Stegostoma tigrinum: one gene and its partners. The protein of the gene in region 4 purifies or fractionates together with the protein of the main gene of each other region. This does not show direct contact. Links are inferred from orthologs where the notes say so. Each region holds a gene or a part of one and is shown on either strand. Other genes may lie near its edges. The genes, in order: srebf2, insig1, srebf1 and scap.

Evidence for each region.
Region 1: the proteins of scap (region 4) and srebf2 purify together in Homo sapiens (affinity purification with western blotting; 3 studies listed by BioGRID and IntAct, with this or other methods). This does not show direct contact. The link is inferred for Stegostoma tigrinum from reciprocal best matches to the Homo sapiens genes SCAP and SREBF2.
Region 2: the proteins of scap (region 4) and insig1 purify together in Homo sapiens (affinity purification with western blotting; 11 studies listed by BioGRID and IntAct, with this or other methods). This does not show direct contact. The link is inferred for Stegostoma tigrinum from reciprocal best matches to the Homo sapiens genes SCAP and INSIG1.
Region 3: the proteins of scap (region 4) and srebf1 purify together in Homo sapiens (affinity purification with western blotting; 4 studies listed by BioGRID and IntAct, with this or other methods). This does not show direct contact. The link is inferred for Stegostoma tigrinum from reciprocal best matches to the Homo sapiens genes SCAP and SREBF1.

What each region holds. Positions count from the first base shown.
Region 1 is NC_081391.1:4,386,314-4,394,632, reverse strand, and holds the start of srebf2 (sterol regulatory element-binding protein 2), read right to left. Parts: upstream 3,037-8,319; 5' UTR 2,863-3,036; coding exon 2,778-2,862; intron 1-2,777.
Region 2 is NC_081355.1:142,091,260-142,099,358, reverse strand, and holds the start of insig1 (insulin-induced gene 1 protein), read left to right. Parts: upstream 1-5,031; 5' UTR 5,032-5,307; intron 5,308-5,331; exon of another isoform or gene 5,332-5,393; intron 5,394-5,771; 5' UTR 5,772-5,828; coding exon 5,829-6,156; intron 6,157-7,087; exon of another isoform or gene 7,088-7,741; coding exon of another isoform or gene 7,742-7,778; intron 7,779-8,099. UniProt on the Homo sapiens protein: Oxysterol-binding protein that mediates feedback control of cholesterol synthesis by controlling both endoplasmic reticulum to Golgi transport of SCAP and degradation of HMGCR.
Region 3 is NC_081376.1:20,032,415-20,040,579, reverse strand, and holds the start of srebf1 (sterol regulatory element-binding protein 1), read left to right. Parts: upstream 1-4,983; 5' UTR 4,984-5,155; coding exon 5,156-5,288; intron 5,289-6,671; exon of another isoform or gene 6,672-6,871; coding exon of another isoform or gene 6,872-6,890; intron 6,891-7,659; coding exon 7,660-8,058; intron 8,059-8,165.
Region 4 is NC_081358.1:98,288,142-98,295,404, reverse strand, and holds the start of scap (sterol regulatory element-binding protein cleavage-activating protein), read right to left. Parts: upstream 3,040-7,263; 5' UTR 2,947-3,039; intron 2,935-2,946; exon of another isoform or gene 2,709-2,934; intron 2,542-2,708; exon of another isoform or gene 2,321-2,541; intron 1-2,320. UniProt on the Homo sapiens protein: Escort protein required for cholesterol as well as lipid homeostasis.

The DNA of each region.
Region 1 (8,319 bases), on a different chromosome or scaffold from region 4:
CACCTGAGTATTTTTGTAATCAAGTCCGCTGCAGTGGGACTTGAGCCCATAAATTTGTGATAAGAGGCAACAGTGCAACCAACTGAGCTACAGCTGACTACATGGCTTGCATCAGCAAATGCTCAAAGGCGAGAACAAATTGTAATACTATGACTATAACAGATGCTAATCTGTGGCCATCAAATTTTACAGTAAACCAAGTGATATATCCTTATTAATGCTGATGATGGAGTTTGGTTTGTTTTCAAGGTGACAGACCAGATTCCATCACAGAAAAGTTACCATCCTAGTCTGTGTCAGTTTACATGCTTTTCCGGAGCCTCCTCCCATGCTACTCCACCTCATTCTTGAATAGATTCCCTACAGTATGGAAACAGGCCCTTTGGCCCAACAAGTCCACATTGCCCTTTGAACCTTCCACCTAGACCCATCCCCATCCCCCAAAAATCCACATACCCCTGAACACTACAGACAATTTAGCATGGCCGATCCACCTAATCTGCACATCTTTGGGCTGTGGGAGGAAACCGGAGCACCCAGAGGAAACCCACGCAGACACAGGGAGAATGTGCAAACTCCACACGCAGTCACCCGAGGCTGGAATCGAACCCAAGTCCCTGGCACTGTGAAGCTGCAGTGCTAATCACTGAGCCACCGTGCTGCCAATTCCCATCAATATTTTCTCCAAAGATGATCAGAGACTTTAATTCACAAAAAAAACTTACATACTTAATATCTTTCATGCCCTCAAGGCATCCTTCAAATGGGCAAAGGTTATAAAATGAAAAGGGTTTTAGTCTATCAATAAGTTGGTTTGTCCTGTATTTTATAGGTTAGTTGACATGAAGAAATATATGAACTTAGCAATGTAATAAAAATAAAATTGAGAGTGGATCTCTTTTTTAAAAAAGTCAAAAGGTTAATTATTTATTTTGTATTTGATGAACAGAATTCCAATTGTATAAGAAAAAATTTCTTTCAATTAAGTACTTGGACTATCAAAGCCAAAATCATTAGATTCTGCCATAAATGCCAGTACCTACTCATTCTTCAAAATCCATTATTTCAGCCAGCATCTGGCAAAATGTTCTCTTTTGGTATCAAACTGATAGATCATTCCTGAGTAAAGCAACCAAATAGCAATGAACGGCATTTATATAGTAGCTTTGATTTAGCTTAATATTCCATTGAGCACTTTCAGACAAAATATTGACACCAAGTCAAAGAAGCAGGATTTAAGACAAAAACCAGATCAAAAAGGCAGGTTTTAAGCAGGCCCTCGGTAAAGACAAATGCAGTGATCAGCTTCAGATGAAAACTGCAGAACATAGGATAAATTATTGAAACCATGGCTACCAATAATGGGGTGAAGGAAATAGGGATAAACAAGCAACAATAATTGAAGACCTTGAAAGGAAATGAGGTATTTGTAATCCAGAATTGCCAAAGCAGGAACTGATGTACTGCAGCAAGAGCAAGATGACAAATGAACAGCATTTGGTGCAGGTTAAGTCATGGGCAGTAGAACTCGGATGTGTTTAAGTACATCGAGTGTGGAAGATGGAAAGCTGGCCAATTGATCACTAGCATAGGCAAATCTAAAACTAACAAAAGTACAGATGAGGTTTTCAGTAACTGAGCACAGGCCATGGCAGAAATAGACAATGTTGAGAAGGAGGAAGCATATAGTGTTGGCGACTCTCAGGAGAAAGTCTGAGAGAAGATGTAGTCTGAAGTTAAATTCAGGGCCAAACCGGACACCCCAATTGTGGGCAATTTGGTTCAGCTTCAGACAGTTGTCAGGCAGAGATAAAAAAAAAGATCAGTTAATGGAGTTTAAAGCAGGATCTAATGATGATTGCTTCAATGTCCAGAACAGTTAACAAGAAGTAATTTTTGCTCATTTAATACCAGATGCCCAGCACAGCAGGGGATATTTTATGTTAAAGATATAAATGCACACTGTTGTGAATAAGAATCAGAGAGGCTCTGTTATCACAATATTTTACAAGTTACCACATTATCATGATTCTGATATCACAGATTTTACACACAGATCACATTCTCCATTCTACATTTTACAATTTACTGTCAGTGCAATAACCAAAAGTTAGTAAACAAATATCAGATGAGTAGTGATGGTAACTAACAGTAAACAAAGGAAACAATTACGCAAATAATAAGTAAAAATCAAAAGAACGGCTGTAAATCAGGAACAAAAACAAAGTTGCTGGAAAAGCTCAGCAGGTCCGGCAGCATCTGTGGAGGAGAAAACAGAGTTAACGCTTCGGATCTAGTTCTGAGGAAGGGTCACCGGACCCGAAACGTTAACTCTGTCTTCTCCTCCACAGATGCTGCCGGGCCTGCTGAGCTTTTCCAGCAACTTTGTACAATAGGAATGTTAGAAAATAGGCTGGATGGAATTATGTGTAGAATCTTATTATTTGTGTTAACAAAAACAAAGTTGCTGGAAAAGCTCAGCAGGCCCGGCAGCATCTGTGGAGGAGAAAACAGAGTGAACGCTTCGGATCTAGTTCTGAGGAAGAGTCACCAGACCCAAAACGTTAACTCTGTCTTCTCCTCCACAGATGCTGCCGGGCCTGCTGAGCTTTTCCAGCAACTTTGTTTTTGTTAACACAAATAATAAGATTCTACACATAATTCCATCCAGCCTATTTCCTAACATTCCTATTGTACATTCAGAATGATCATTTGTATACGTTGGTTTTAAACAGACTAACATACATTTTGGGAGGAAACATAAAGCATTAACTCACCATCAATATCCCCAAAATTCAGCCCCTCACTGAGCTCACTCAGTGAGGGGTCCATATTCTCAAACGATATATCCTCACCCTCCATTGTTTTAAGGGTCGAATGCTAGGGATTCCGATATTAAGAGGGTTACGTTTTCCTGTATCTCAGTTTAGGTTCCTGTTACTTTAACCCAACATTATCATTTCTCTTCGCAATTCCACTGCCGCCGCCGCCATCTTGGCCAGCCCCCTTTCCTCATGCCCCGCCCCCGTGACCCGGTGGCCTCACCCCATCCGGTGCGCGTGTTGATCGAGCGGTGGCGCGAGCGGCGTCCGTTGGTGTTGGCCGCAAACACGAGATGTGGGTCGGCCAATCGCTGGGCCAGCCGGCCTGATGGGGTGATGCGACGTCAACATGGGTACAGTCCGTCGCCTTGGTTACCGGCGGCGGCTTGCTTTCCAAATTTCGCCGTAGGTGTTTCTGCCCAATGCTGCGTCAGGTGAGGGTGGGAATGTTTTTTCCGTCTTTTTCGTCCAATACCTGCCAGCGTAAAGAGATTATGGCTGTGGAATGAAATTAAAATTGCACGAATCAAGGCTGGGAAAATGTGGAATTGCTGAAAAACCTCAGTAAACCACGCAGCATAACGGAGAGAAAGTAATTCCAGTCTTCAGAACGGAACTGGTCGCTAAGCCCGAGCCATTGACTCTGCTTTCTCTTCTCAAATGTTGCCAGGCCTGCTGATTTTACAGCAATTTCTGATTGCCAGCATCCGCAGTTCTTTGTTTTGAGTTGTTTTCCTCAGGGGGAAGGAGGCATTTGATTAAGGCGTACAAACCTCTAAGGAATAACTTCTCCTTAGAAGAACGGTTTGAAAATAGGGTGAGTGATAATGGGAACTGCAGATGCTGGTGAATCCAAGATAATAAAATGTGGGGCTGGATGAACACAGCAGGCCAAGCAGCAGCTCAGGAGCACAAAAGCTGACGTTTCGGGCCTAGACCCTTCATCAGAGAGGGGGATGGGGTGAGGGTTCTGGAATAAATAGGGAGAGAGGGGGAGGTGGACCGAAGATGGAGAGAAAAGAAGATAGGTGGAGAGGAGAGTATAGGTGAGGAGGTAGGGAGGGGATAGGTCAGACCAGGGAAGACGGACAGGTCAAGGAGGTGAGATGAGGTTAGTAGGTAGATGGGGGTGCGGCTTGGGGTGGGAGGAAGGGATGGGTGAGAGGAAGAACAGGTTAGGGAGGCAGAGACAGGTGGGACTGGTTTTGGGATGCAGTGGGTGGAGGGGAAGAGCTGGGCTGGTTTTGTGGTGCAGTGGGGGGAGGGGACGAACTGGGCTGGCTTTGGGTATGGTTTTAAGGTTAGCAATAGGAGGTATCAAGGGGATTTAAGGAAAAAGGTTTTTGCCCTCAGGGTTGTGTATATCTAACTCTGTGCCTGACAAGATAGTAGCAGTGGGAACTCTTCACTCATTTAAGTATCATTTATATGAGCATTTAAAATGCAACAGCAAACAAGGCTATGGGTCAACTGCTGGAAAATGGGATGAGAATAGATAGATGGTTGGTTTGGACCAAGAGGCCGAAAGACTTCTTTTCATAATGTAAAATCTTGACTCTAACATTATCTTAAATCATCATTCCCCTCAATTATAGATTATGTTTTTTTCTGGTGGGTTTAAACTACCTTGTCAAACACCTTCCAGAAGTCTGAACGCAACAGTTATTTCTCCTGTAATGCTTGTGTGATCTCATGTGAAAGAATTGAATTGAATCATTTATTCTCACATGTATTCAACGTAAAAACAGTGAAAAGTGTTCACCTTCGCCATACATACATGGTGCCAATCACATTAACTTAGAATAAGTCAAGGAAAAAGAACTCGAAAGTCCAACATGAGTTTGCGCTATAGAAAATCGCTTTGGAAAGTCATGTTATAGGGAAATCGTTATACAAAATCGCTAAACTATACAGTAGAAAGTTTGAGTTATCCAAACAGTGTCCACCGTTCATCAATCACGTGACAGCCAATTCACATCAGCGAAACAAGCGTTATGGCAGAACTACCTGTACCTCTACTGGTTTCCCTCTATACACTTTGGTTGAGACACTCGGAAAACTAGAAAATTAGTCAGGCGCGATTTCCCTTTCGTGAAGCCATGTTGACTCTGCTTGATGAGATTATGATTTTTCAAACATGCTGGTATAACTTCCTGAATAATCAATTCCAACCTTTTTCCAACAATATACATTAGGCTAATTGGCCTATAGTTACCCGCCTTTTGTTTCCCTTACTTTTCGAATAGAGATGTCACAGCAGTTTACTAATCCTCCAGTTCTCCCCCAGAATCCAAAGATTTTTGAAAAATTACAACCAATGTGTCCAATATCATAGCAGTAACCACTTTCAAGATCCTAGGGTGCAAGCTATAAGAGCCAGAGGACTTAACTACCTTAAGCTCCATAATATTATTTCTCTAATGATGGTGTTTAATTCCTCCCCCATATCCTTTAGTATTAATAGCACTTTGGAATATCTTCCACTGTAAACACTGATGCAAAGTATCTGTTGGACTCCTCTGCCATTACCTTGTTCCCTATAACTATCTTGCCAGATTCATTTTCTAAGGGTGACATGTTCACTTTGAACTCTCTCATCTAATGTATTTAAAGAAGCTCTGTTTGTCAGTTCTTGTATTTCTTACTAGTTTGCCCTCATTGTTTATTTCCTGTTTCTACTATTTTTTAGTCCTCTTGGTGATTCTGAATTTGTCCCAGTCTTCGGGGCAATCACTGACTTTTATCTTCAAAATGCTATTTCTTTCATCTTTGTGCTCTCTTTAATTTCCTTGGTTAACCATGGTTAGTTTATCCCCCCTTAGAATTTTTTTTCCTTACTGGGATATAATTTTGCTGCAAGTCATGAAATGCCTCCTTAAATGTCTGTTGCTATTTGCTTTGTGAGACTCGCTAGCACCAGGTGTCTTTGGGTTCAAAAAGCACTGTCCGCCAAGTACTTTGGATTTGTTTGAAGTTGCGGTGTGTCACAGAACTGAGAAAGGCGCAGTGGCATTAAAACTTCCAAGAAGGGATGTGCAATACAGATCTTTTGCTGTCTGCTCTGAGTGGATAAATAAAGCACTAAAGATGCTGAAAATAGAGCTTCTAACTCAAGTAACAACTTAAATCCAACTGACTAGCTACTGAACTGGAGATCACCACAGTCAACAACAATGCAATACCATTGCCAAAAACCAAAAGAACTATGAGAAAGTTATCTTATTGCGTTTTTGTCATTTGGAGTCTTGATCCACAGAATTTGTTCCTTTTCCCTTATGTTCCCTACCCATGATATGTCTCCTCCTACTTGTGAAAGAATATTGAGTGTTTAGGTTTAAAGGGGGTATAGTTTAAGTTTGTACAGTAGTGATTAATTGCCACTTGTTAAAGGATAAACTTGTTAAAATAAATAAGTTTAAGTCTTTTTGTTTATTAAATGAACCTGGTGCTTTTTAAAAATCTTAGCGGTCTAAGTCAAGCAAATTAATGATCTTGCTTTTAAATCAGTCATTTATGCATTTGTGACAATTCATACTAAACTTTTTAGACACTTCTTCAATACCAACCAGGGAATGCAAGTGCACATCTTCCTCAAGTTCAAAAAGCAACCATCACCACTACAGTATTAATCTTTCCTGTCATTCAAGCTAGCTTTGTGTCCATGCTGTTACTTTTTTTTTATTCCATAGGCTTCAACTTTGATTACAGGCCTGTTACCTGGAACTTTATCAAGTCCATTTACATCACATCAACTTACAACATTTTGTGATGTTGTGATCCAGAAATTGAATCTGGATGGGTACATGAATAGAAACGGTTTGGAGGGATATGTGCCAAATGCTGGCAACTGGAACTGGGTCAGATTGGGTGTCTGGTTGGCACGGACAAATTGGACTAAAGGGTCCGTATCTGTTCTTATGACTCCATGAACTGTAAATCTCTGTTTCCCCATTATTGAGAAGATTGTTACAAGTCGGAACAAAATCTGGCTTGTACCTTCTTTTATTTGAAATTACTGTAAGATGAATGCCTGCAGGGAGTGTCTCATGGTAGAGGTCACACAACCACAACAAGCTAGGAGACACTTTTTTTTGTATTCATTCGCGGGATGTGGGTGTTGCTAGCTGGTCAACGTTTATTGCCCATCCCAAGTGAGTCCAATATGGCGGCAAAGTAGGAATAGTTGGAATACCTCTGCTGGCCAGGTCTTTTACCCCTTTCCCCGTCCCCCTGTGTGGAGTTCTGGAAGACTGGAGCAAGTGGGCCAAGACCCACGGCAAACCGGAGCAAGCATGACCAAGACTCAGGGAGGACCAGAGCAAGTGGTCAAGTCCTGTGGCAGTCCGGAATAAGTGGGCCGAGACCTGTGGAGAACCGTACATTGCCGAGGCCAGGTGCCAGCTCTTCGACACCTCCTCCTGCCGCCCCCTTGATCATGACCCCACCCCGACAACCAAACCATCATCTCCCAAACCATGCACAACCTCATCACCTCAGGTGACCTCCATCCCACAGCCTCCAACCTCATCGTTCCCCAATGCCACACCGCCCACTTCTATCTCCTTCCCAAAATCCACAAACCTGACTGCCCTGGCCGACCCATTGTCTCTGTCTGCACCTGCCCCACTAAATGTATCTCCATCTGTCTCAACTCCATTTTTCCCTCCTTGGTCCAGGAACTTCCTACCTACGTCCGTGACACCACCCACGCCCTCCACCTCCTCCAGAACTTCCAATTCCCCAGTCCCCAACGTCTCATCTTTACCATGGATGTCCAGTCCCTATACACCTGCATTTTCTCATACAGATGGCCTAAAGGCCCTCCACTTCTTCATGTCCCGCAGGCCCGATCATCCCCCACCACTGACACCCTCATCCACTTAGCCAAACTTGTCCACACCCTCAACAACTTCTATTTCAATTCCTCCCACTTCCTACAGGCAAAGGGGGTGGCCATGGGTACCCGCATGGGCCCAAGTTTTGCCTGCCTCTTTGTAGGTTATGTGGAACAATCCCTCTTCCATAGCCAACTGGCCCTAAACCCCACCTCTTCCTCCGTTTCATTGATGACTGTATCGGCGGCGCCTCATGCTCCCATGAGGAGCTCAAACAGTTCATCCACTTCACCAGCACCTTCCACCCCAACCTTAAGTTCACCTGGACCATCTCTAATACCTCTGTCTCCTTCCTGGACCTCTCTGTCTTCATCTCTGGCAAACACCTAGAAATTGATATCCATTTCAAGCCCACCAACTCCCACAGCTACCTAGAATACACCTCCTCCCACCCATCTTCCTGAAAAAAAATCCATCCCCTATTTCCAATTCCTTTGCCTCCACTGCATCTGCCTCCAGGATGAGGCATTCGACTCCCATACATCTCAGATATCCTCATTTTTCAAGGACCGCATCTTCCCTCCCTCTATGGTCGTGAATGTCCTCGACCGTGTCTCCCGCATTTCCTGCAACTCATCCCTCACACCCCCTCCCCGCAATAA
Region 2 (8,099 bases), on a different chromosome or scaffold from region 4:
ACAGGTTAGGGAGGCAGAGACAGGTTGGACTGGTTTTGGGATGCAGTGGGTGGAGGGGAAGAGCTGGGCTGGTTGTTTGGTGCAGTGGGGGGAGGGGACGAACTGGGCTGGTTTAGGGATGCAGTAGGGGAAGGGGAGATTTTGAAACTGGTGAAGTCCACATTGATACCATTGGGCTGCAGGGTTCCCAGGCGGAATATGAGTTGCTGTTCCTGCAACCTACGGGTGGCATCATTGTGGCACTGCAGGAGGCCCATGATGGACATGTCATCAAGAGAATGGGAGGGGGAGTGGAAATGGTTTGCGACTGGGAGGTGCAGTTGTTTGTTGCGAACCGAGCGGAGGTGTTCTGCAAAGCGGTCTCCAAGCCGCCGCTTGGTCTCCCCAGTGTAGAGGAAGCCACACCGGGTACACTGGATGCAGTATACCACATTGGCAGATGTGCAGGTGAATCTCTGCTTAATGTGGATTGTCATCTTGGGGCCTGGGGTAGGGGTGAGGGAGGAGGTGTGGGGGCAAGTTTAGCATTTCCTGCGGTTGCAGGGGAAGGTGCCGGGTGTGGTGGGGTTGGAGGGCAGTGTGGAGCGAACAAGGGAGTCACGGAGAGAGTGGTCTCTCCGGAAGCAGACAGGGGTGGGGATGGAAAAATGTCTTGCGTGGTGGGGTCGGATTGTAGATGGCGGAAGTGTCGGAGAATAAGATGCCAGCTTATTTCTGCAATTCTGACTGTATTCCAGGCAGAAAGTTGCTGCTGGAAATTGATTAACAAAAGCAGCAAGACTTCAATTACTTACCTCCCTGGAGGAAGTTACAGTTTTCCTGTAGTGTCAATCAGCAAGTTAGAATAGATTCATATTTCAATGATTACAAAGTGTAGAGCTGGATGAACACAGCAGGCCATGCAGCATCTTAGCAGCGCAAAAGCTGCCGTTTAGGGCCTAGACCCTTCATCATATTTCAATGCTCTGTTTCTCAAGCTGATATTTCAGTTCCTCTTTCCTTTTGAAATAACTCAAGACAAATTATTTTGTGGTCAGACTGGTGTATCCAAATTTGGATTAAAAGCATAAGGGGCTGGAGAAAAACAGCTGGTGAAACTCAGCAGGCCTGCCAGCATCCATGAAGTGTGCAAAACAGAGCTAACATTTCAGAATTGGTATGAAGAGTCATGCTGGATTTTAAATGTTAACTCGGTGCCTCTCGCCACAGATGTTGACAGGCCTGATGAGATTCTCCAGCAGTTTCTGGTTCCTCCTGCTACCCAGAGATGTGCAGGTTAGGTGTATTGGTCTTGCTAAATTGCCCAATAGTAACCAGCGATGTGTCGGTTAGGTGCATTAATCATAGAAAATGTAGGGGTACAGGCAAAGGTTAGGGGGATGCTCTTTAGGGGTCAGTGTGGATTTGTTAGGCCGAATGGCCTGTTTCCACACTGTATGATGATCATGAAACTATTGTTCATAGTTGGTAAAAATCCATCTGGTACACCAATATCCTGCAGGGATGAAAACTGCCATCCTTACATGGGCTACATGGAACTCCAGAACCACAGCAATGTGTTTGACTGTTTACTGCCCTTTGGGCAATTAGGGATTTGCAATGAATGCTGGCCTAGTCAGCGACACCCCCATCCTGTGAAGGAATAAACATATTCCAGCATCCAGAGAATTTTGCTTTGATTCAAATCTGGGTTAAATTGGATTTGCACACATGACATGCTGAATGTAGAAAGTGTCTGCTATCATAAGAACACAAGAAGTAAGGGCAGCAGCAGACCATTCAGCTCTTTGAGCCACTGAATTGAGATTATGGCTGATCTTGTAGCCCCATCATTTTCTTGCACTATCAATAGAGACTGGTCCTTCACTCAGAGAGTACCCTATATCAGATAAAGTTACTGTGGAGAAAATACAACTGGAATTGCAGGGACCTTGTTGCATAGAATTGCAGAAATAGGCCATTTGGTGAGCTCAAATGATCTGTACTAGTGTTCATATTCCTCTTATTCAATCCCACTATTTAGAGTCAGCAAGCATTCTCACTGAGTCATTCTTACATATTTTCAACCATTCCATTCATTGTGGTACTGGAGAAAAAACAGATTTAAAGGGAGAGTATGAGGAGAGTGGCCCAATGTAAAATTACTCAGAGATAGCAAGTACTGCAGCTGCTGGAGTCAAAAACAACAGAGTGGAGCTGGAGGAACACAGCAGGCCGGGCAGCATCAGAGGAGCAGGAAAGTTGATGTTTCGGGTCGGGACCCTTCCTCAACTTTGTCAACTTTCCTGCTCCTCTGATGCTGCCTGGCCTGCTGTGCTCCTCCAGCTCCATACTGTATTGTCAATATAAAATTACTCCTTTATCCAAAACATTTCCACTTAAAAATAACGTTATCTAGAATTTACATGCCAAAACATGACATTCTGTCCAACTGCTTTCTGCACGTAAGAGATATGAATTGAGTGCTTTCAGTAGCCCTGGATCAGAACAGAATTGGGTGACCATAATATTACAGGCCAAGTTGGCAATCTTGCAAGTGATGAAAATTCAGCATCTGTGAGGTTCAGCCTCACACAATGAATGTTATACTCTCCTCGACTGCTACCTGGATATACTTGAATAGAAATAAGATACTGTGGATACTGGAAATCTGAAACAAACACAAATGCTGGAGAAACTTGTGATAATGGGAACTGCAGATGCTGGAGAATCCAAGATATTGAAATGTGAGGCTGGATGAACACAGCAGGCCCAGCAGCATCTCAGGAGCACAAAAGCTGACGTTTCGGGCCTAGACCGTTCATCAGATAGGGGTATGGGGTGAGGGTTCTGGAATAAATAGGGAGAGAGGTGGAGGCGGACCGAAGATGGAGAGAAAAGAAGATAGGTGGAGAGGAGAGTATAGGTGGGGAGGTAGGGAGGGGATAGGTCAGTCCAGGGAAGACGGACAGGTCAAGGAGGTGGGATGAGGTTAGTAGGTAGGAGATGGAGGTGCGGCTTGGGGTGGGAGGAAGGGATTGGTGAGAGGAAGAACAGGTTAGGGAGGCAGAGACAGGTTGGACTGGTTTTGGGATGCAATGGGTGGAGGGGAAGAGCTGGGCTGGTTGTTTGGTGCAGTGGGGGGAGGGGATGAACTGGGCTGGTTTTGGGATGCGGTGGGGGAAGGGGAGATTTTGAAGCTGGTGAAGTCCACATTGATACCATTGGGCTGCAGGGTTCCCAAGCGGAATATGAGTTGCTGTTCCTGCAACCTTCGGGTGGCATCATTGTGGCACTGCAGGAGGCCCATGATGGGCATGTCATCTAAAGAATGGGAGGGGGAGTGGAAATGGTTTGCGACTGGGAGGTGCAGTTGTTTATTGCGAACCGAGCAGAGGTGTTCTGCAAAGCGGTCCCCAAGCCTCCGCTTGGTTTCCCCAATGTAGAGGAAGCCACACCGGATACAGTGGATGCAGTATACCACATTGGCAGATGTGCAGGTGAACCTCTGCTTAATGTGGAAAGTCATCTTGGGGCCTGGGATAGGGGTGAGGGAGGAGGTGTGGGGGCAAGTGTAGCATTTCCTGCGGTTGCAGGGGAAGGTGTTGGGTTTGGTGGGGTTGGAGGGCAGTGTGGAGCGAACAAGGGAGTCACGGAGAGAGTGGTTTCTCCGGAAGGCAGACAAGGGTGGGGATGGGAAAATGTCTTGGGTGGTGGGGTCGGATTGTAGATGGTGGAAGTGTCGGAGGATGATGTGTTGTATCCGGAGGTTGGTGGGGTAGTGTGTGAGAACGAGGGGGATCCTCTTTGGGCGGTTGCGGCAGGTGCGGGGTGTGAGGGATGTGTTGCGGGAAATACGGGAGACGCGGTCAAGAGCGTTCTCGATCACTGTGGGGGGAAAGTTGCGGTCCTTTAGGAACTTGGACATCTGAGATGTGCGGGAGTGGAATGCCTCTTCGTGGGAGCAGATGCAGCGCAGGGGGAGGAATTGGGAATAGGGGATGGAATTTTTGCAGGAGAGTGGGTGGGAGGAGGTGTATTCTAGGTAGCTGTGGGAGTCGGTGGGCTTGAAATGGACATTAGTTACAAGCTGGTTGCCTGAGATGGAGACTGAGAGATCCAGGAAGGTGAGGGATGTGCTGGAGATGGCCCAGGTAAACTGAAGGTTGGGGTGGAAGGTGTTGGTGCAGTGGATGAACTGTTTGAGCTCCTCTGGGGAGCAAGAGGCAGCGCCGATACAGTCATCAATGTAACAGAGGAAGAGGTGGGGTTTGGGGCCTGTGTAGGTGCGGAAGAGGGACTGTTCCACGTAACCTACAAAGAGGCAGGCATAGCTGGGGCCCATGCGGGTGCCCACGGCCATCCCCTTAGTCTGCAGGAAGTGGAAGGAATTGAAAGAGAAACTTAGCAGGTTTGGAAGACTTCCTACTCAAAAGGACAGGAAGTGGAGGTGCTGGTGTTGGACTGGGGTGGACAAAGTCAGAAGTCATATGACACCAGGTTATAGTCCATCAGGTTTATTTGAAATCACAAGCTTTTGGAGTGTAGCCTTTTGTCAAGTGTGGTGAGACAGCAGGCACACTGACCCATGGATTACAAGCAGAGAGGTGGAAAGATCCATTCTAATGAGTCGAGTGTCAGATGACAAGTCTCTGCAGATGGCCAGGAGTATTAGACAGTGAGTAAAAGTGTCAACAGCTGAATAACCAACCAAGGAATGACCTATAATCCAATCAAATGAGGCAGAGAGATAATTACAGAACATTAAAAATAAGGTGGTGCTGCAGATTCAGGCTCTGCTTCGTCCCTCTACACGTTCTGCCTGCCTCCCACATTCACAGGCTGTCTGTAATTTACACAAGGTCACTTCACCCTGTCAAATAGTCTGGGTCACCATTCAATCCGCTTTCCTCTGCACTTCAGTTTCATTTCTCAGTCTTTAAGCGGGGGTGGGGGGGGAGGAGAACGGATGAGTAAAGAGTGACAGTGCGTGTATTTTATGATGCCTTGACAGGAAGGTGTGGTTTATCCTCCTCTTCCTGTGCAAACGGACGGTGCACCGAATGGTGTGTCCTTAACGTCATATGGGCCGTTCAGACTGCGATTGGCTCCAAGAGTCTCACCAGACAGATTGTTTTGACCGCTTGCCCGTCTGCGCTGTATGAATAGTCCCATTGCAGGATGTGACCTAATAATTCCACACATACAATGTAGAGCAACTGGCAACCTGAAAAGCGTTGCCTGCACAAAGTTCCACCCCCATTGTTTTTTTTCACAGAAGGCTGGCTTTTAATGGTGCTTAGTGCTAGCGCTGCTCAAAACTGGACGGTAAGCTTTGTTTATCAGGCTGATTTCACTGGAATGAGTTTTAGTGCTTCAGTGATGAGTTGGTTATACTGTAACCCGGTGTGGCTGTAAGAAGTAAAATGAGTATTTATCTTGTGTCTGTTCGGGACGATAGGATGTGTTTGCCTGTAAAGCTTTCTCCCTGTTTGTACAGCTAGCTCTCTTATGTTTGAGGCCATCATTAGCCTAGAAAAAAAACGAAGCTAACGTATCAGGGCGAGCCTGTTTCTTTACCATTAACTCTTGAGACCATCTTCACTTGCAAATCCACCACCATTCTCAGTGGCTTAACATTTGGAATATCGCAGTGTTCAGTATTTACTGGTCTTGCTGTGTCGATAATTTCACAAAGTTTGGCATTTGGACACGCTCCCCTGTTGTGTTTAAGTGTCACTCAAATGAATTCATTTGATTTTATCTTTTCCGTTTGCTGTTCACCCCTGCAGGGCCGTGGAGGCGCCGCCAATTTAGTGTAATTCCTGCCAGTTGCCTCTCCATACCAAATGTCAAGGATCGAAGAAACTTGCTGGTCGTGCAGTTGCACCCGGGTACATCCGTCTGAAAGTAACGGCACACTGCTGGTGGCAAAGGTCTACGAGATGATGACCATCGTCAGCTCGATCCTAGTCAGTGCCTACTGCTCCCTGGTTAGCGGTCACACCATGAACTTACTGCGGCGGGGCTTGGTGCTTTTCACCGTGGGAGTGTTTCTGGCGCTGGTGTTGAACCTGCTGCAGATCCAGAGGCACGTCACCCTGTTCCCCGAAGAGGTCATTGCCACAATTTTCTCCTCTGCCTGGTGGGTACCACCTTGTTGTGGCACAGCGGCAGGTAAGCGCGGGGTATTGGGAGGGAGAAATCAATATGCCAATAAGTTTAGGCCTTTTTACAGTGTTGAAGTTGTTCAAGAGAGTAACCTGTAGCAAACTTTATCCTCCATTCAACGAAAAAGGGGCACTCTTTAAAATATCAACCAGACCTGTTAAATAATGTTATTTTAAAAAAATACTTCTTGTCCTATTAAAACGTCAACAAATTGTCATTAGACTTGAATTTGGAATACAGATGTTTTGAAAGCCTCGATAAAAGTTCTTAGTTTTTCAGCATTTTTATTAAAAAACATTCCAATCCTACTGTGTTCTTGCATTGGGCATCTGTCACCAAACATGGTAATCTAATGAGTTGTAAGCACTAGAGCTGACAAACCCTTAAATCAATAACTTCTTGACTCTTTAACACTGAGCATTTGGCGTCTGTATTCGACAGAAGCATGTGTTTGTCATTTTCCGCAATTCAAATCTTTTTTTCTCTCCAAACGCGGTAACATATCAACCTCTTTTGTGTTGTGACACTGTAAATCCTCGATTCTTTCAGAAAATGCATCTCAACTTTGGTGTGAAACTTGCAGTAAAATTATAGTAACTCCCAACCTCTAAAGATAAAAAAAAGTGGCTTAATTCGAACAATCCCCAACCATTTGCAACACACATATCTCCCCGCTCACAAGAAAGAACACTTTTAAATAGGATCAGAGATAATGGGAACTGCAGATGCTGGAGATTCCAAGATAATAAAATGTGAGGCTGGATGAACACAGCAGGACCAGCAGCATCTCAGGAGCACAAAAGCTGACGTTTCGGGCCTAGACCCTTCATCAGAGAGGGTCTCTGATGAAGGGTCTAGGCCCGAAACGTCAGCTTTTGTGCTCCTGAGATGCTGCTTGGCCTGCTGTGTTCATCCAGCCTCACATTTTATTAACTTTTAAATAGGAAGTCAGTTTTTCTTTCATAAACTGTCAATTTTCACGCCTTGAAATGGAAATAAAACAAGGCTAGTTGACGTTGAAGTTCCAAAAGACATCTTCGCACTAGCGGAAGATGCCAGTGTTTTTTAACGCCGATGATTCATTTCAATTATATTCCTGAGGGAGGTTTTTCGCGCCACGTGTCGCTAGATTTGCATGAAATTGCAAGCGCGCTGGAGGAGGCGGGGCCTTGGAGTGCAGTGCTGTTTCTTGATTGGCTCAGCTGGCAACGGGTGAGCTGGACTGCTCGCTCCTGATTGGTTGTCATGTGCAACATACCACTTGGCTTTCTAAACTAAAATACAGAATGAAAGCAAGGAAATGAAGTGACAGGATGCTGAGCCTGTCTCAAGAGTTTGTAATACTGCTGAGTGCTGAACTTATTAACATTGTGTGTTTTCCCTCCCCACCCTTTCTATTTCACTGATGTTAGCATTCACCTGCTTTTAAATAGGCTCAACCCAATCTCGGCGCAATAGACAGGAGAGGTGGTCTTCAAAGGAAGCCAGAAAAGATTTAAATTTTATGTAATACGGTTCGTTACCTGCTGTACAGCTCACGTGATCGACCTTCGGAGTTTCTGTGGTGACTTTCTTGTAGAAGTGAAACTTCATGCAACAAGGAACTGGCATTGCAGAAAAAAAACTGAGTAGGTCTGGCAGCATCTACGTAGGGAAAGCCGAGTCAACCCCCGAAGAAGGGTCACTGGACTGGAAATGTTAACTCTTGCTTTCTCTCCACAGATGTTGCAATACCTGTTGAGGTTCTGCAACAGTTTCTGCTTCAAACCTTCAGCATCGACAGTTCTTTGTTTTGTTATAGTGAACTTCAGGTGTCTTGGTGACTGTTCTCAGTCCTGCTATTTGGAGATAATGTTCAGAAAGATGGGTTGTGTTTTTATGATGGTTAACACTGTTAGTGAGACATTGCCCACACCTACATCGCATTGAATATCAGAACAAGCTCAAGG
Region 3 (8,165 bases), on a different chromosome or scaffold from region 4:
ATCCATAATCCAAAAATAAAGAAAATAAAAAGATTCAGTCTTTATAATGTCATCTACTCGCAACCCCTCAACTCAAGGGAGCACTTTTTTCCATTTATCCAGAACCTGCTCAATTTTGAACATTTTTATAAATCTTCTCTTCTCTAAGGAAAACAACCCAAGATTGTCCAACCTACTGTCCTAACTAAAATCTTTTGTCCACGAAACAATTCCCACAAATTGTTTCCGCAGCCTCTCAACTGCATTTCCAAAGTATGCTCTCTAAACTTGGACTCAATACTATAAGTCTGCACTTTAAGTTGCCCTGTTTTAAATCTTCTTGATGCAATATTGTATTTTTCAAGGGGCCACTATTCACACAGTCCATTGAGAATGCCCATGAACGTCAGCCTGCAGCAGCTATGACATGAGATAGTATAACCCATTTGCTGCCATGGTGGGGCAGGGTCTCCTGCTCCCTGACACCACTTCCCCTCCCTAACCCACTTCTACAGCTTGTGGCTTGCCTCCGTGACCCTAATACTTGAAACTGCTCTCACTCTATAGATTACCTCCTGCCAATTGGTGCTCACAGCAAGTGGGAGGCAGGAGCAGTAGCCAGCAAGGAGGGCAGTGGCAACCAGGAGAGTTGGGAAGCAGGTGGCTGTGGAAACATGAATGGCAGTGAGCTGGAGGCTTATGGAGCAGAAGATGCAATGAGTAGAGAAATTGGCAAGTGAGATGAGATCAGCCATGTTCATATCAAATGGCAGAGCAAGATGGAGGGCTGAATTGCCTGCACCTGTTCCTAGTTCTTATGTCCTAAGCCGCAAGAATTAGAACATTCATTTTTCTTTTGATCAGAAACTTACTTAGAAAACTTAGCTAAAGCTACATCATAATGGGAAAATCAAATTTGCCTAACATTGATTTAAGTTGTTTTTTTCAGAAATGTAATTACGCTACTAAATGAGGAATTGTTGTTCTCCATTTGAGCCAAACAAGTATTTTTTAAAGTATAACTTCTTTGCTTTAGCGCATTATACCTCTATTTATAAAGCCCAAGGTCACATATTTCTCAATTACCCTTTCTCAATGGCTCTGCCGTGTTCAATAATTTACAAACATATACCACCCAGGTTCCTCTCATTGTCCACACCCTTTAGAATTGTATCCTTTATTTTGTATCAGCCTCTCTCTGCTCTTCCTCCAAAATGTAACACAGCATATTTCTCTGCATTAAGTTTCAGCAGCGATGTATTTGCCATCCCACAAGCCACTCTGTGATCTTTTGAAATCTATCTCAATCTTCTGTACAATTCATAATACTTCCAAGTTTTGAGTCATTTTCAAATTTCTAAATTGTGTCCTTTACATCCATGTTAAGGTTTCAATTTAGATCAAAAAAAGCAATGGTCCCAATACTGACTTGGGATTTCCACTCTGTTATTGTCTTCTAGTCTGAAAAACAACTGTTCACAACCACTCTCTATCTCTAGTTGCTCAGCCAACATTGTATTCTTGCTCCCAGTGTTGCTTTTCTTTCATAGGTGTCAAATTTGCTGACACATATATGACATGGCATTTCAGGTTCTCCCTGTTGCTAATACCACTTTTAAATCCTGATGTTCCTTTTCAGGTTCTGGACTCTGAGCCTCCTCTCCCTGTTGTAGTAACTGACTGCCTCCATTCAATCCATGCTGTTTTTCCCTTTGAAGCTGTTCTCCCTTCTCACTGCACAGCCTTGTTCCTCAAATATCAAAATCCACAGTGAGGAACTGGACAATGCGGATCAATTCTCATAACTTGGCAGCCACCTCTCAGTGAAGAGAAATAGATAATTAAAATCAACATTACATCCAGCACAAACTTTGGTAGTCGATGGACAGATTGTTTGATGACAAAGACATCAAATCTAGTACTGTGCACATGATCTATAGGACCACCTCCTGGGATTCCCTTGCTCAAGGTTGCCCAAGATAGTCCAAACTAGAGAAGAAGCATCTACGTAGCAGCATCCAGCTGAATGACTACAACAAGCCCAGGTGCAGGTCAAGTGCAAACAGTGGAAAATGTATGCAAAACCTTGAGCATCACACCCATCTGCCTCTTCAAACACCATGTGTCTCACCTTTAACAGGGTGTGCAGATCTGGAATCAGGCTGCCTGATCACTTCAGGACACAACATTGGAATGGAAGAAAGTCATCCTTAATCTTGGGGGAATGCCGAACAAAATATGACACATCATTTAGTTTCTTTTAGAAGTGTCAGTATACCACATCAACCATATTAGATGTATCATTCATTTCTGTTACCTCATAAAATTCACCATTAAGTTTGTTAAACATATCTTGCATTTAACATATATTTTCTGGCTGTCTTCAGTTAATACACATTTGACCAAGTGACTGTTAGTTTTGTTCCAGGCTATTATTTTTAGTGTCTTTCCACCACTGAGATTAACCTTCCCTTTTTGATCCCTAATCTACTCCACACCTTTTTTTGCCACACTTTTTTTATTCATATGCTCTAGAAGATGTTTGGAATTCCTTTTTGCATCAGCTATCAGTTTCTTCTCATCCTCACTGTTTGAACAGAGAACACAGAACATACAGCAGAGCAGTATAGGCCCTTCGGCCCACAATGTTGCACCGACCTAATATCCTTCTCTAAGATCAAACTAACCTGCGTACCCTACATTTTACTATCTTCCATGTGCCTATCAAAGAGTCGCTTAAATATCCCTAATGTATCTGACTCCACTACCACCACCGGCAGCGCATTCCATGCACCAACCACTCTGTGTGTCCTGAAGTGACCAGACAGCCTGATCCCAGATATGCACACCCTATTAAAGGTGGGGCACATAATGTTTGAAGAGAGGGGTAGGTGTGATGCTCGGGGTTCCGTATACGTTTTCCACTGTTTACTTCTAATTTCCCTTGGAACTTTCTATATTCAGCCTGGTTCTCACCTGTATTATCAATCAGACATCTGTCATATGCATTCCTTTTCCACTTCATCTTACTATCTGTCTCTTTCGTCATCCACAACTTTTGGTTTTGTTTGGCTTACCTTTCTTTCCCTTGAACATACCTTGACTGTACCTGAACCATCTCATGTTTACAGTCAACCAATTGTTCTGTTGCAGGACTGTTTGTCAGTCATTGCCACTTACCTGTGCTAAAAGTAGTCTCAACCCACTCACTCTCAATTAAGTATTTTTACTAGGACTGCTAGCCTAAAACTTAGATGAGATCATCATTGTCCACTTGATCTGCCTTATTGCACAAAATCTAATCGATCAATGATGCTTTCTCATCTGGCCAAAAAACACTGACTAAAAATCTCTCCTAAATGCACTTCAAAATCACTCAGTCTCTTTTCCTTTATTGTTACCATCCCAGACTTATTAGTATAATTAAAGTTCCACATAATAACAACTGAATTACCTCTTCACCTCTGTGTAATTTCATTCCATATTTATTCCTCTATATCTCTCCAATTAGTTGATAATCTATGCAATATACCAAATATAGTAACAGTGTCTCTGCTGTGTTTTTAGCACTACCCAAATAGATCCTGACCTTGACTTAATCTAAGATATCAAATACATGCATCCCTCCTGCTTTCTTTCCTTTCTTTTATTTCCCAAACACCATCTATCCAGGAATATTTAATAACCAGTCTGCTCTTTTTCGTACCCGATCGTCATTACTTCCAGATTGGAAGTCATATGACACCAGATTATAGTTGAACAGATTTATTGGAAATCACAACCTTTCACAGCGCTGCTCCTATGTCAGTTGAAGTCACCATTACTTGGCATCGTGTGTTTTCTGACCTTGTTCACCCCAGTCCAACACCTGCACCTCCACTTTATTATTTGCACATCACAATTTTCCCACCTGACTGTGCGTGCTGCTTACCAATCTTTTATTTAAGCAGAGTCAAAAAGTTAAGACGGGTCCTAATAGTTGTGCTCAAGAATGATATTTCAAGCTATAATAAAACAAATAACCATGGATGCTGGAGATCTGAAACAAAAATAGAACTTGCTGGAGAAACTCAGCAGGTCTGACAGCATCTGTGGAAAGAAAGCAGAGTTAATGTTTTGAGTCCAGTTACCCTTCATCAGGATACATTCAATATATTGTAATGATTTATGTTTGAAGTGAGCTGATATGGAGTATTACGCCAGAGACAATAGGAACTGCAGATGCTGGTGTTGCAGTGGGAGAGAGATCCCCTTGTCTGGAGGGAGGAGGGTAACTTCTTCAGGTTAGGCATCCCTAGAAGAGGCTTCGAAGTGAGATTAAAATTGTATCAGAGATGACAGGAACTGCAGATGCTGGAGAATCTTGGATAACAAGTTGTGGAGCTGGATGAACACAGCAGGCCAAGCAGCATCAGAGGAGCACAAAAGCTGACATTTCCAGCCTAGGCAATTCATCAGAAATGGGGGAGGGGGAGAGGGTTCTGAAATAAATAGGGAGAAAGGGGGAAGTATTACACCATTAGTTTGAGCCACATAGCTTTTTTTGTGGCCTAACAACCTCTTTAATTGTGCTGAAAAGTCCAATTTACTTGTCCAATCTACTTATCTCTACCCTCCCACCTCCAAAACTTGTAACAGTTTCTTGTTGTTAACCACAAAATCGACTAGTCCTAACCCCACCACGTGGGGAAGTGAGTTGATGTAATCCCCACAAAAAGAGGGCGGCGGCTTGCAGCGATGACGATGGATCACCCCACGCCGCAGACCGCGCTCTCATTGGCTGCATTCCGCTGGTTCTAGAGGCACGCGGGCCAGCTCCACCCCCGCGCTCGCCGGCGCCTTCTCAACCGAACTTGAACATAACCTGCAAATGATTGGTGCACTTTGCCCGCCCAGTAGGGCGAGCCCACAAGGACCTGGCCTCTCATTGGCCATACTAGTTATCAATCAAGAAGATGAGTTCGTGTCTTCGGGAGATACCCTCCCTCTTCAGCTCCTGCCAGCGAGTTAGGTGTCTCCTGGCGTTTATTGACATGGTTCCACGGCCGGTGAGCCCGGTGTAAACAGCGAGTTCAACATACCCTTCACCCGCCCTGCCCCACCTCATCCCACCCCACCCTACCCGGGCCGGTTTGATCCTCCCCTCTCCGCGTCTGGGACATTCACCTTGTTTAACATGAATAACAGTGGGAAGTCATACGCTGCTCCTGATCCGGCCATGATGTTCGAGGATTCGGCCCTAGACAGTCTGGAGCCGTCTCTGACCGAGAGCAGCGAGATCGATAGTGCACTGCTCAGTGACATTGATGGTGAGTGATGGGCAGGGCTTGAGAGGGCAGCATTCCGGGTGGGGGAGCAGGATCGTGGAGGTATAGGGCAGAGCCTGGCTCCTTTGGATAGTCTAGAAGGTCTAGATGTTAATGTTAACAACTCTGCTCGTTGTCTGGTAGAACAGGACACTGCTTAATGGGCTGTTTGAAGATCCAAAGATTGAGCTTGTACTCTGCATTGACAGTTGTAGATAGAACTAACAATTTGTAGAATTCCTTGGTAAACAATTCTTACTGAAATCAAAATCAAGAATACTGGTAAAATTATTTAATTAAGAGTAAATGCTTCCATGATTTGTGGAAAATTGTATAAACTTACGTACATAATATTGTTGTTCTACTTCTAAACTTCGTGCAGCATTTAAGTACAGGCACTTTATAATAGTTAAAGTCAGTTTGTATTAGGGTAGGGTGTAAACAGCCCTTAACTCGGGATGGTAATGGTGTTAGTGCAGCTTAAGTCATTCATTGAATTTTATTCTGGTAAAATTACTTGTCAGACTGCCCCTTTTCTAACATAAATGTTTAAACATTGATGAGAGAAAGGGATTTATGAAAAAATTACACTTAATTTCAATGAGATATGGGGAAAGGAGAAAATCATCTTTACACTTAATCAATATAAAACTCATATTTCAAATCGTTCAATTTGTATATCATCCGACGTGGAGAGTATGCACCCTGTTTGCCCTGGTGCTCAGTATAATCGATTCGTTGCAGTTTTGGCAAGGTTACAGTTGCTGACTTGTGTGTTCAATTTCAACCCAACCCCTTTCAGCTCAGTCAGTGACGTCACGCCTGGGTTACTCGCGGTTATTGCCTTCTGTGAAATTCTCAAGTTCATCTGCACATTGATCTACTCCAAGACGCCAACAGCATCTTGGAAACTTTTGAGTTTTTACAAACCAAAAGGAATTATTTTCTGTACTTGGTTTTAATCCATAACAGTACTTACATTCTGAGAAGCCCTTTCTGATATTTTAAAATTGTTAACCTAAGTTTTTCAGTATGTTATATGATGCACTCATTTTTAAAAAATCTAGAAATGAACTAATGTTGCAGTATTAGACTGTGATTTTTAAATGTCTTGAGTGAGTTTGATGGTTTGTACTATATCTGTATTGGAATTAGCACTGGGGAGCAGATGTCCGAAAGTAACCCCTGGTTATTCACCTTTGTGAATTAGTCAGTGCCCCTGGAAGTATAGACTATTACACAAATCCTTTCTGTCATGTCTGAGTGGTTAGCCAAACATAGCGAGCAACTGGGGCACTGCAGCGATTGGTTCAACCAGATCACCTCATGAGAAAAAAACAGATTCCAACAACCGCCCCTCAATTTGAATACAGTCAGTGGATTTTTTTTCTTAGGAGGAGGAAGAGGAGGCAAGAAGTATAGAGCAATTCTGTTTGCTTACTGTGCTGCAGTGTGGTTTTGTATGTGCAGTGTTCCGAAAGACGAAACAGATAAGCTCCTAAGGTGCTCTTGTGCACTACAAAAATATTGCTCTTAATGTAGCAGCATAACCCTTGTATCAAGTGTTGAACAGATGAAGTGTAGCAATGGACTGCACATTTGAAGGTAATACTGTTACAGTATAGTGTTACTGTAAAGATTGAGGTTTACTGGTGCAAATATTTGTGCAGATAGTGTATCTTAATGCTGTTGTAAACAGTCTCTTTCAATTATTGTACAAGATGGCTACATTTGATTTCAGATGTATGTAGTTCACTTTTAGAATAGCATGAACAGCAGAATATTTAAAGCAAAGCTTTAAAAACACATTTGTGATAATGGGAAAATGGTACTAATGAAAATGTTTGTGCTATTTGCTCATAATTCTAAAACAAATTAGCATTTATGCAAGATCTGAAATACACAGGCATTGGCAGTTGTCCATAATATGTGGGAGCCTTGGAGATTGTACAACTAATGGAAATGATATCCCCATCAAAATCTGATTAATTGGAAATTGATTGTGTTAAAGTAGCTGTTGATATGGAAATTGATGGCGTTAAAGTAGCTGTTGTGTTTTTGTTATAACTTTAAAAAATTCTGATTTTTCCAGTGTAGATCTTATGAACGAAAATTACCGCCATTTATGTAACACCTTATCAGAAGATCTGACGACCCAAGATACATTGGAATTAATTAATTAGTTTTGCATTCCAGTTACATTGTGATGTTGTAGTGATTTATTTAGTTGGAGCAAGCCTGCAACTGGGGGAATGTAAATGCTTTTATAAGTCGACAACGAATGTGCTACTGGCTGCTTTATTTCAGGATACAGTTTGCTGAAGTAGCAACTTATCTGTCTAGTCTTGTAATATGTATTCCACTTTATTTACAGATATGTTGCAGTTGATTAGCAATCAGGATGGAGATTTCCCTGAATTGTTTGACAACACCTTTTCTAGCAGCCCTCTCCAGGATAGCAGTTCATCCATCACACCTAACCAGGGGTCTCTGAACTTGACTCTTGACAGCCTGTTGGGGAGTAGTGGCAAGAATCAAATTCCCGCAAAAACGTATCAGGCCTCCAGGGTCCAACAGCTTCAGCGTCCGCAGCAATCGCAGCTCCTTCAGGGCCCCTCTCCACAACGTGTCAAGCAAGAAAATGCTCAGATGCAACAGAGTCAACATCAGCAGTCTCTCATGATGTCACAGAGTTTTACAACCTCAACACAACTACAGCCACAGTTTGTGCAGCAACAGTCACTGGGCTTTCAGAATTCCAATGGATTTACAGGTAATTGATTATTTTTAACATGCCACAGAATGAATATGTTTTTTTCTTGGTTTGGGCCTTTGAATAATGATAATTAAATACAAAATGTGTAAATTGAAATAGGATTA
Region 4 (7,263 bases):
AAATATTAGGGCAATGATTGACATCTTTCATTAAATGTGAACTGTTCTGGACTCCAGAAATAAACAGGCCTCTACTATTCTAGCAGTAGAATAAAATCATAGGATGCAGGTTCCAAGGTCCAAAGCCAGTCTATTTTAAAGCACATTAATTTCTTCAAACCTAATTCTTCACTAAGTCGATCATTTCCCCTAGATCCATAGTTCTTCACTGTTTTTGGAATATTTTTGTGTCTTCTATGATGAAGGGTGATAAGGTATTTGTTTAATTTCTCTGCCATTTCCTTATTCCCCATTAGAATAGAGCCTGTCTCTGTCCTTTCATAACCTCCACTTGCCCTGTTAAACAGGGAGAGAGATGCAGTCAATGGAATGCATTGCTGGTCTTCTGAATATTTAGTTGGAAGGAAATTTTTACTCATTGAATACTGAATGCCAAACAACCAGTTTACAACTCAGAAAACAAAAGGGTCATGTAGTTACAATTAAGTAGAATTGGTGCCAGCATATGTATTAAAACTGATAGTCTTCAGGAATCATAATAGTTGGCACATGGGTAAAAAGTATGATGGAGATCGAGGATTGATCCTTGAGGTAGAGTAATTGTAATGGTACTGAAATGGGAAAAATAATTATGATGTGATTTGCTGATTATGTTTGGGAAGTTAAGAGTATTGATGGGTACTGCCACATTTAACTGGACAAACATGAAGAATTTTTTTGAGGATGATGGCATTCTTAACTGAGTAAAAGGGTGGAACCAGGACAAGCAGGAATAGTTTACCATTGTTACAGTTGAGACTTTGCCAAGAGATTAAAACTGGTGCTCTCAGTAAAATAACATCAATTCAGGAGGCAATAACACACTCAGGAGGGGAAAGGAAGGCTGAGGAAGGGGAGTAGAAGGAGGGTCTCATTGTCTTGACAACAAAACTACTATTTAATAATGAGATATTGGCTGCATTTATAAATGTTGGATAAAGTAACAAGATGATAAACATGGTCCTGGTGATGGGTGTTAGTACAAAACAATCAAAAGCATCAATACTTATTGCTGTACAGGACAGTGGACCATCAGTTTACATAAATCTAAATGGCTCATGATGAGGACAGTAATTGATTTTTGTGGGACTTTAATATGTCATTCTCATAGAGCAAAGGAAAAGTTCACGATTATGTATCAAATACATGTATTTTGAATTAGAATTTGAAAGAATAAAAGCAATAAGAAGTCAAAGTATCAATGAAGTATTTGTTTCTCAGCTGTAGTTTCAATTGTTTGACAACAGACTAGCATCTTCATTTGGCAAAAATGTAGCATTTTAAAACTTGCAACATTTGGAGGAACCTTCACACATAAAACAAAATGCTGGTCACATTTTTACCACCTAATCTGTGCAGAAACCTGATCATCCTACCAAACACAAAAAAAGGGAGGCAAAGAAAAATAACAGTCACCAATTTGCAATCGCAATGGGGCACAAAGAAATTGGCTACTCATAAATCAAACAATACCATCAGAACTATATTTGTGTTAAAACAAATATATGGTGGGGGCAGCGAAGAAACACCCAACATTCCATTAAAGCAAGGCACAAAAGAAATTTGTCAATACAGGGTGCGGGAAGGAAGAAAGTTAGAAATTGTTAAGGATAATGAAAAGGTGTGCTTATGACTGCAACTGCATAGGGAACATTTATATCTTTCAAATGCTTAACATCATTTTGAATAACGACTAACCATCTCATGGGAAGAAAGGTGTGTTTGACAGAATAGCCAAAGCATCACTTAAGATTAATTTTCATCAAATTAAAAATGAAATTTCAAGCCTTCCATTCAAAATGCAATCATTTCACAGTAGAGTAATTAGTGAAGTGAGATTAATGTAGATCCTATTTTTAGGAGTTAAAAAAATCAAGACATGATTTCAAAAGTAAATAAATAAGTTTTGAAAAACTAATATTTTAAGCCTTGTTGTAAATACGTTTAAACAAAATAACCGGATTTCCATGGAGGATATTACATTCAAAATTTACAATGGAAAAAGTAATTGCTAATTGGCACTACAATAATTTACTGGCAAGCGTCAGCTCAGAATGGAATGATGCTCTTTTTAGTTACGAGAAAGCGATTAAAAACAACCCTCATAATAATAAAACATGATGTGAAGCAGCGAGGTACATGAGCCACTCCAGTGTAAAAATACAGGACGAGGTTTGGGCCTAGCTGATCTCATGGAAAACTAAATTATTCAAAGAGTTCAACTCAGCCGTCCTCTCTGTTCAAGCTGAGGAATTCAGTGACATTTACCAAACCTTCTCACCTGCTGGTGGCTTAATTTCTCTCCCTCGATGGTTATAATTAACTGCCGTGAAGTCCCTGTGTTTCAGCTCAGATGCCACTCCACAGCGTCTCCTCAGTAACACGCAAATCCATGATGCGCGCTCCCGCTCACTTGGGTTAACCACCCACCGTTGGCGCGCGCCCGGATTAACGTCGCCCTTACACACGCACGCTCCCAGGTAAGCACGGCGCCCCCAAACTGCGCGGCCCCGGCCCCGACACAAACTCCACCCAGCGTAGCCGCACGCTCCCCCTATTAACTCCGCCCCCGTCTGCCCCTCTCATTTCGCACCACACGCTTTCCACTTCAACCCCGCCCACCGTCCGCGCGCTCCGGGTTAACACTATTGCGCCACCATCCAACCTACCCTTCTCCAGCTCCAAGATGATAAAATGTGAGGCTGGATGAACACAGCAGGCCAAGCAGCATCTCAGGAGCACAAAAGCTGACGTTTCGGGCCTAGACCCTTCATCATGTAATCTCTTCTCCAGCTCCACCTCCCTCTATTTACACCAGGATCCCTCCCCCTTCTTACCTCATTCCCAGTTCTGTGAAGGGTTTCAGCCCGAAACATGGACTTTCCTGTTGCTCTGATGCTGACTTACCCGCTGTGCTTTTTCCAGCTCCACATCTATTGGCTGTGGCTTTCAGCGTCTACAGTCCTTCCGGTCTCCAATCCGCTGCCCCACAGGTCAACCCCTCCCATCGTTCGCAGATAGCACGCCCCGGGCTAACTTCGCCCATCTCCCGCAGGCTTCGGGGTTAGCCCCACCCACATCCCCATGCCTCGCCTGATGTGCGGAATAAGAAGCATGAAGCTAGTGTTAGACTTGTTCCTTATTTTGCCTTTTTGCACGTGTTGTTCACTTAGTCGATAGTTTGTAAAGAACGCTGAGCAACGTAAGACAGACTCATCAATTAAAAAAGATAGGAGAAAAAAATGACAGCATCACCCACATAAAAACTAAAGCAACTTGCACTTGATACAAAGCACTGTAATTCATGGAAAAGTACAGCACATGGAGGCCGTTCAGCTTATTAAGTCTTCAACAGCTCCTACAGAGTACAATCTACATGGCACTCAGGAAATCTTACACGGTCAGTGTTACCAACATTTAGGCTGATATGTGAACTGAAATCGGCCATACAGCTGTCCCCCTGCCAGCACTCCTCAGCAATGTTTCTTTCCCAACCAACATATACAACAGATTTCCCGTTGGCGTATACACTAATGTTTGTGGGAGGTTTGTGTATAAAAAAACTGCCACATTTCTTACAAGAGTGGCAGCGCTTCAAAACTATCGTCTTTGAATTGGTTTGAGATATCCATTTGATGACCAAAATTATTGTCAAATGGAATGAGCTTTGAAGAAAAGAATATCAGCAAAGTTGCTGAAGGGAAATCCAAAGAGCTAAATTCATTATTGCCAGAGATAGTATGAACTGCCAATGCTGGAGAGTCTGAGACAATACGGTGTAGAGCTGGAGGAACACAGCAGGCCAAGCCGCATCAGAGGAGCAGGAAAGCTGACGTTTCTTCAGAAATGGGGGCGGGGAAGGGGATTCTGAAATAAATAGGGGGGGAAGGCAGATAGAAGTGGAGAGGAGATAGAAAGGTCAAAGAGGTGGGGATGGAGCCAGTGAAGATTGATGTAGGTGGGGAGTTAGAGAGGGGACAGGTCGGTCCAGGGAGGACGGACAGGTCAAGGAGGGGGCATGAGGTTCGTGGGTAGGAGAGGGGGGTGGGGTTTGAGGTGGGAGGAATGGTTGGGGAGGCGGGGACTAGCTGGGCTGGTTTTGGGATGCGGTCAGGGGAGGAGAGATTTTGAAGCTTGTGAAGTCTACATTGATATCCTTGGGTTGCAGGGTTCCCAAGCAAACAAAACATCAGCTTTTGTGCTCCTAAGATGCTGCTTGGCCTGCTGTGTTCATCCAGCTCCACACTTTGTTATATGATAATAAAATGTGAGGCTGGATGAACACAGCAGGCCAAGCAGCATCTCAGGAGCACAAAAGCTGACGTTTCGGGCCTAGACCCTTCATCAGAGAGCTCTCTGATGAAGGGTCTAGGCCCGAAACGTCAGCTTTTGTGCTCCTGAGATGCTGCTTGGCCTGCTGTGTTCATCCAGCCTCACATTTTATTATCTTGGAATCTCCAGCATCTGCAGTTCCCATTATCTCTCCACACTTTGTTATGTCGAATTCTCCAGCATCTGCAGTTCCCATTATATCTGAGATGCTGTTCGTGCAGCTTTCGGGTGGCGTCGTTGTGGCAATGCAGGAGGCCCAGGATGGACACGTCGTCCTGGGAGGGGGAGGTGAAATGGTCCGTGACTGGGAGGTGCAGTTGTTCAGTGCAAACCAAGCATAGGTGTTCCGCAAAGTGGTCCCCAAGCCTCCACTTAGGTCCTTCCTGGACCTCTGTCTCTATCTCTGGCACCCACCTGGAAACCAATATCCATTTCAAACCTACTGACTCCCACAACTACCTAGAATAGACGTCCTGTCACCAGCAAAAAGGCCATCCCCTATTCTCAATTCCTTCACTTCCACCGCATCTGCTCCCAAGATGAGGCATTCCACTCCCGGACATCCCAGATGTCCTCTTTTTTCAAGGACTGCTACTTCCCCTCCATCCTTGATAGAAAATGCCCTTGACTGTGGCTCCTGCATTTCCCACAACTCAACCCTCACACCCCGTACCCACAATAATAACCATAACAGAATGCCCCTCATACTCACATACCACCCCACCAACCTCCAAATCCAATGCAACATCATCTGACATTTCCACCATCTGCAATCTGACCCCATTACCAAGGACATTTTTCCCTCCCCACCCTTCTCTGCTTTCTGGAGGGACTACTCTATCCATGACTACCTTGTCTGCTCCACACTCCCCCCCCACCCCCACCACTTTTCCCTGGAACTGAAGCAAGTGCTACATCTGTCCCTACACCTTTCCCCTCATCCCCATCCCAGGCCCTAAGAAGACCATCCACATCAAACAGATGTTCACCTGCACATCTGCTAATGTGGTATACTGTATCCACTGTTCCCATTGTGTCCTCCATTACATCAGGGAAACCAAGCGGAAGCTTGGGGACCGCTTTGCAGAACACTTACACTCAGTTTGCACTAAACAACTGCACCTCCCAGTCGCAAACCATTTCAACTACCCCTCCCACTCCTTGGACAACATGTCCATCCTGGGCCTCCTGCAATACCACAATGACGCCTGCCCAAAGCTGCAGGAACAACACCTCATATTTCGCTTGGGAACCCTGCAGCCCAAGGGTATCAATGTCGACTTCACAAGCTTCAAAATCTCCCCTCGCTCTCTCTCTCCCTATTTATTTCAGAATCCCCTTTCCTTCCCCATTTCTGAAGAAGGATCTCGACCTGAAATCAGCTTTCCTGCTCCTCTGATGCTGCTTGGCCTTCATTTTTGCCAGTGTTGGAATGATAAAAGAAAAATGTCTAAGTTGAACTATCTTTGTCTACTCTTAATTCTGTGAAAGCCAGTTTATTTTCACTACTGGGTTCTAATTCTCTCAAAATTATATTCAGTTCCCAAAAATGCCTTCTTCATTGGAGTGCTCTTTAACTGTACAAATTAAATAGTGTTTGCTTCCACAGTTGTCTATGTTTGCCCAGCTCTAACTCTTCCTCTTGCCTTCATCTCAGTCAAAGGATCCCTACAATTTGGAAGCAGGCCATCTAGCCCATCGAGTCCACACCGACCCTCCAAGAAAATCCCATCTCGACCCACACCTGTATCCCTGCATTGCCCATAGCTAATCTACCCAGCCCGCACATCACTGGACACTTAGGCAATTTACCAATATAGTAACTTAACATAGTTCAGAGACACCCTACAGTGCAGAAGCAGGCCATTCAGCCTGTCAAATCCACAGTCATCCACCGAAGAGCATCCCAATCAGACCCACCTCATCCCAGTATTTCTCAAGGCTAACCCATCTAACCTGCACATCTTTGGACCGTGGAGGAAAATGGAGCACCAAGACGAAACCTACACAGCTATCGGGAAAACATGCAAACTCCACACAGACAGTCACCCCAAGGCTGAAACTGAACCCAGGTCCCTGGCGCTGAGGCAGCACTGCCAGCTATTGAGCCACTGGGCCACCTCAATCAGTTAAGATTTCTAGCAACTCAAAGACAAAAGATTGAGTTGAAACTGAGTCTGTGTGAACTGATATATTGGGACGGACTGAAAATTCTATCGCCATGGGGATCTGAAATAGCCAGAGTTCAACTCGTTATCTATGTTCAATTCATAATGCATCCAGTCATCCACAATGAAATTTATTCTCAAGAATGCGATGGACTTCAGAGTAGAGCATTGTGAAATCAAGGCTTCTCTGCTTGACTTTGGTGATTGGATATAATTGTCATTGACAAGGCTGGCACTTTTTTCTAACTGAGCTCAAAGAGTTCATTAGCCATCTTCTTGTGCTACATTTCATCTGCTCTCACATAACACTCATTGCATGACTTGAAGGGAAACCTGAGGGCAATGGATTGCCCATGCATCTTTTTTCCCCTCATCCTAAGTAGCAGATGTCCTGAGTTTGCAACATGTCGTTGCATAATATTTATCCAATATCCAATGCACCCTGCCTCTGCAACATTCAAGGCTGAGTTTCAAAGACCCATAACCCTCAAAAATTCTCCTGTATTAGCTGATTGGGTAACCTCAAATCTTAAAACATTGTCCCATAATTCTGCATTGTTTCACAAGAGAAAACATTCTTTCCATATTCATCTTGCCAAGATCATAAAGATAGACACTCTGTATTTACACTTCAATAAAACAATTATCATTTTTCTAAACTCCAGTGGAAACAAGTCCAGCCCCCCAATGTATATTCATAAGACAAGCTGCTCATTCCAGGTAT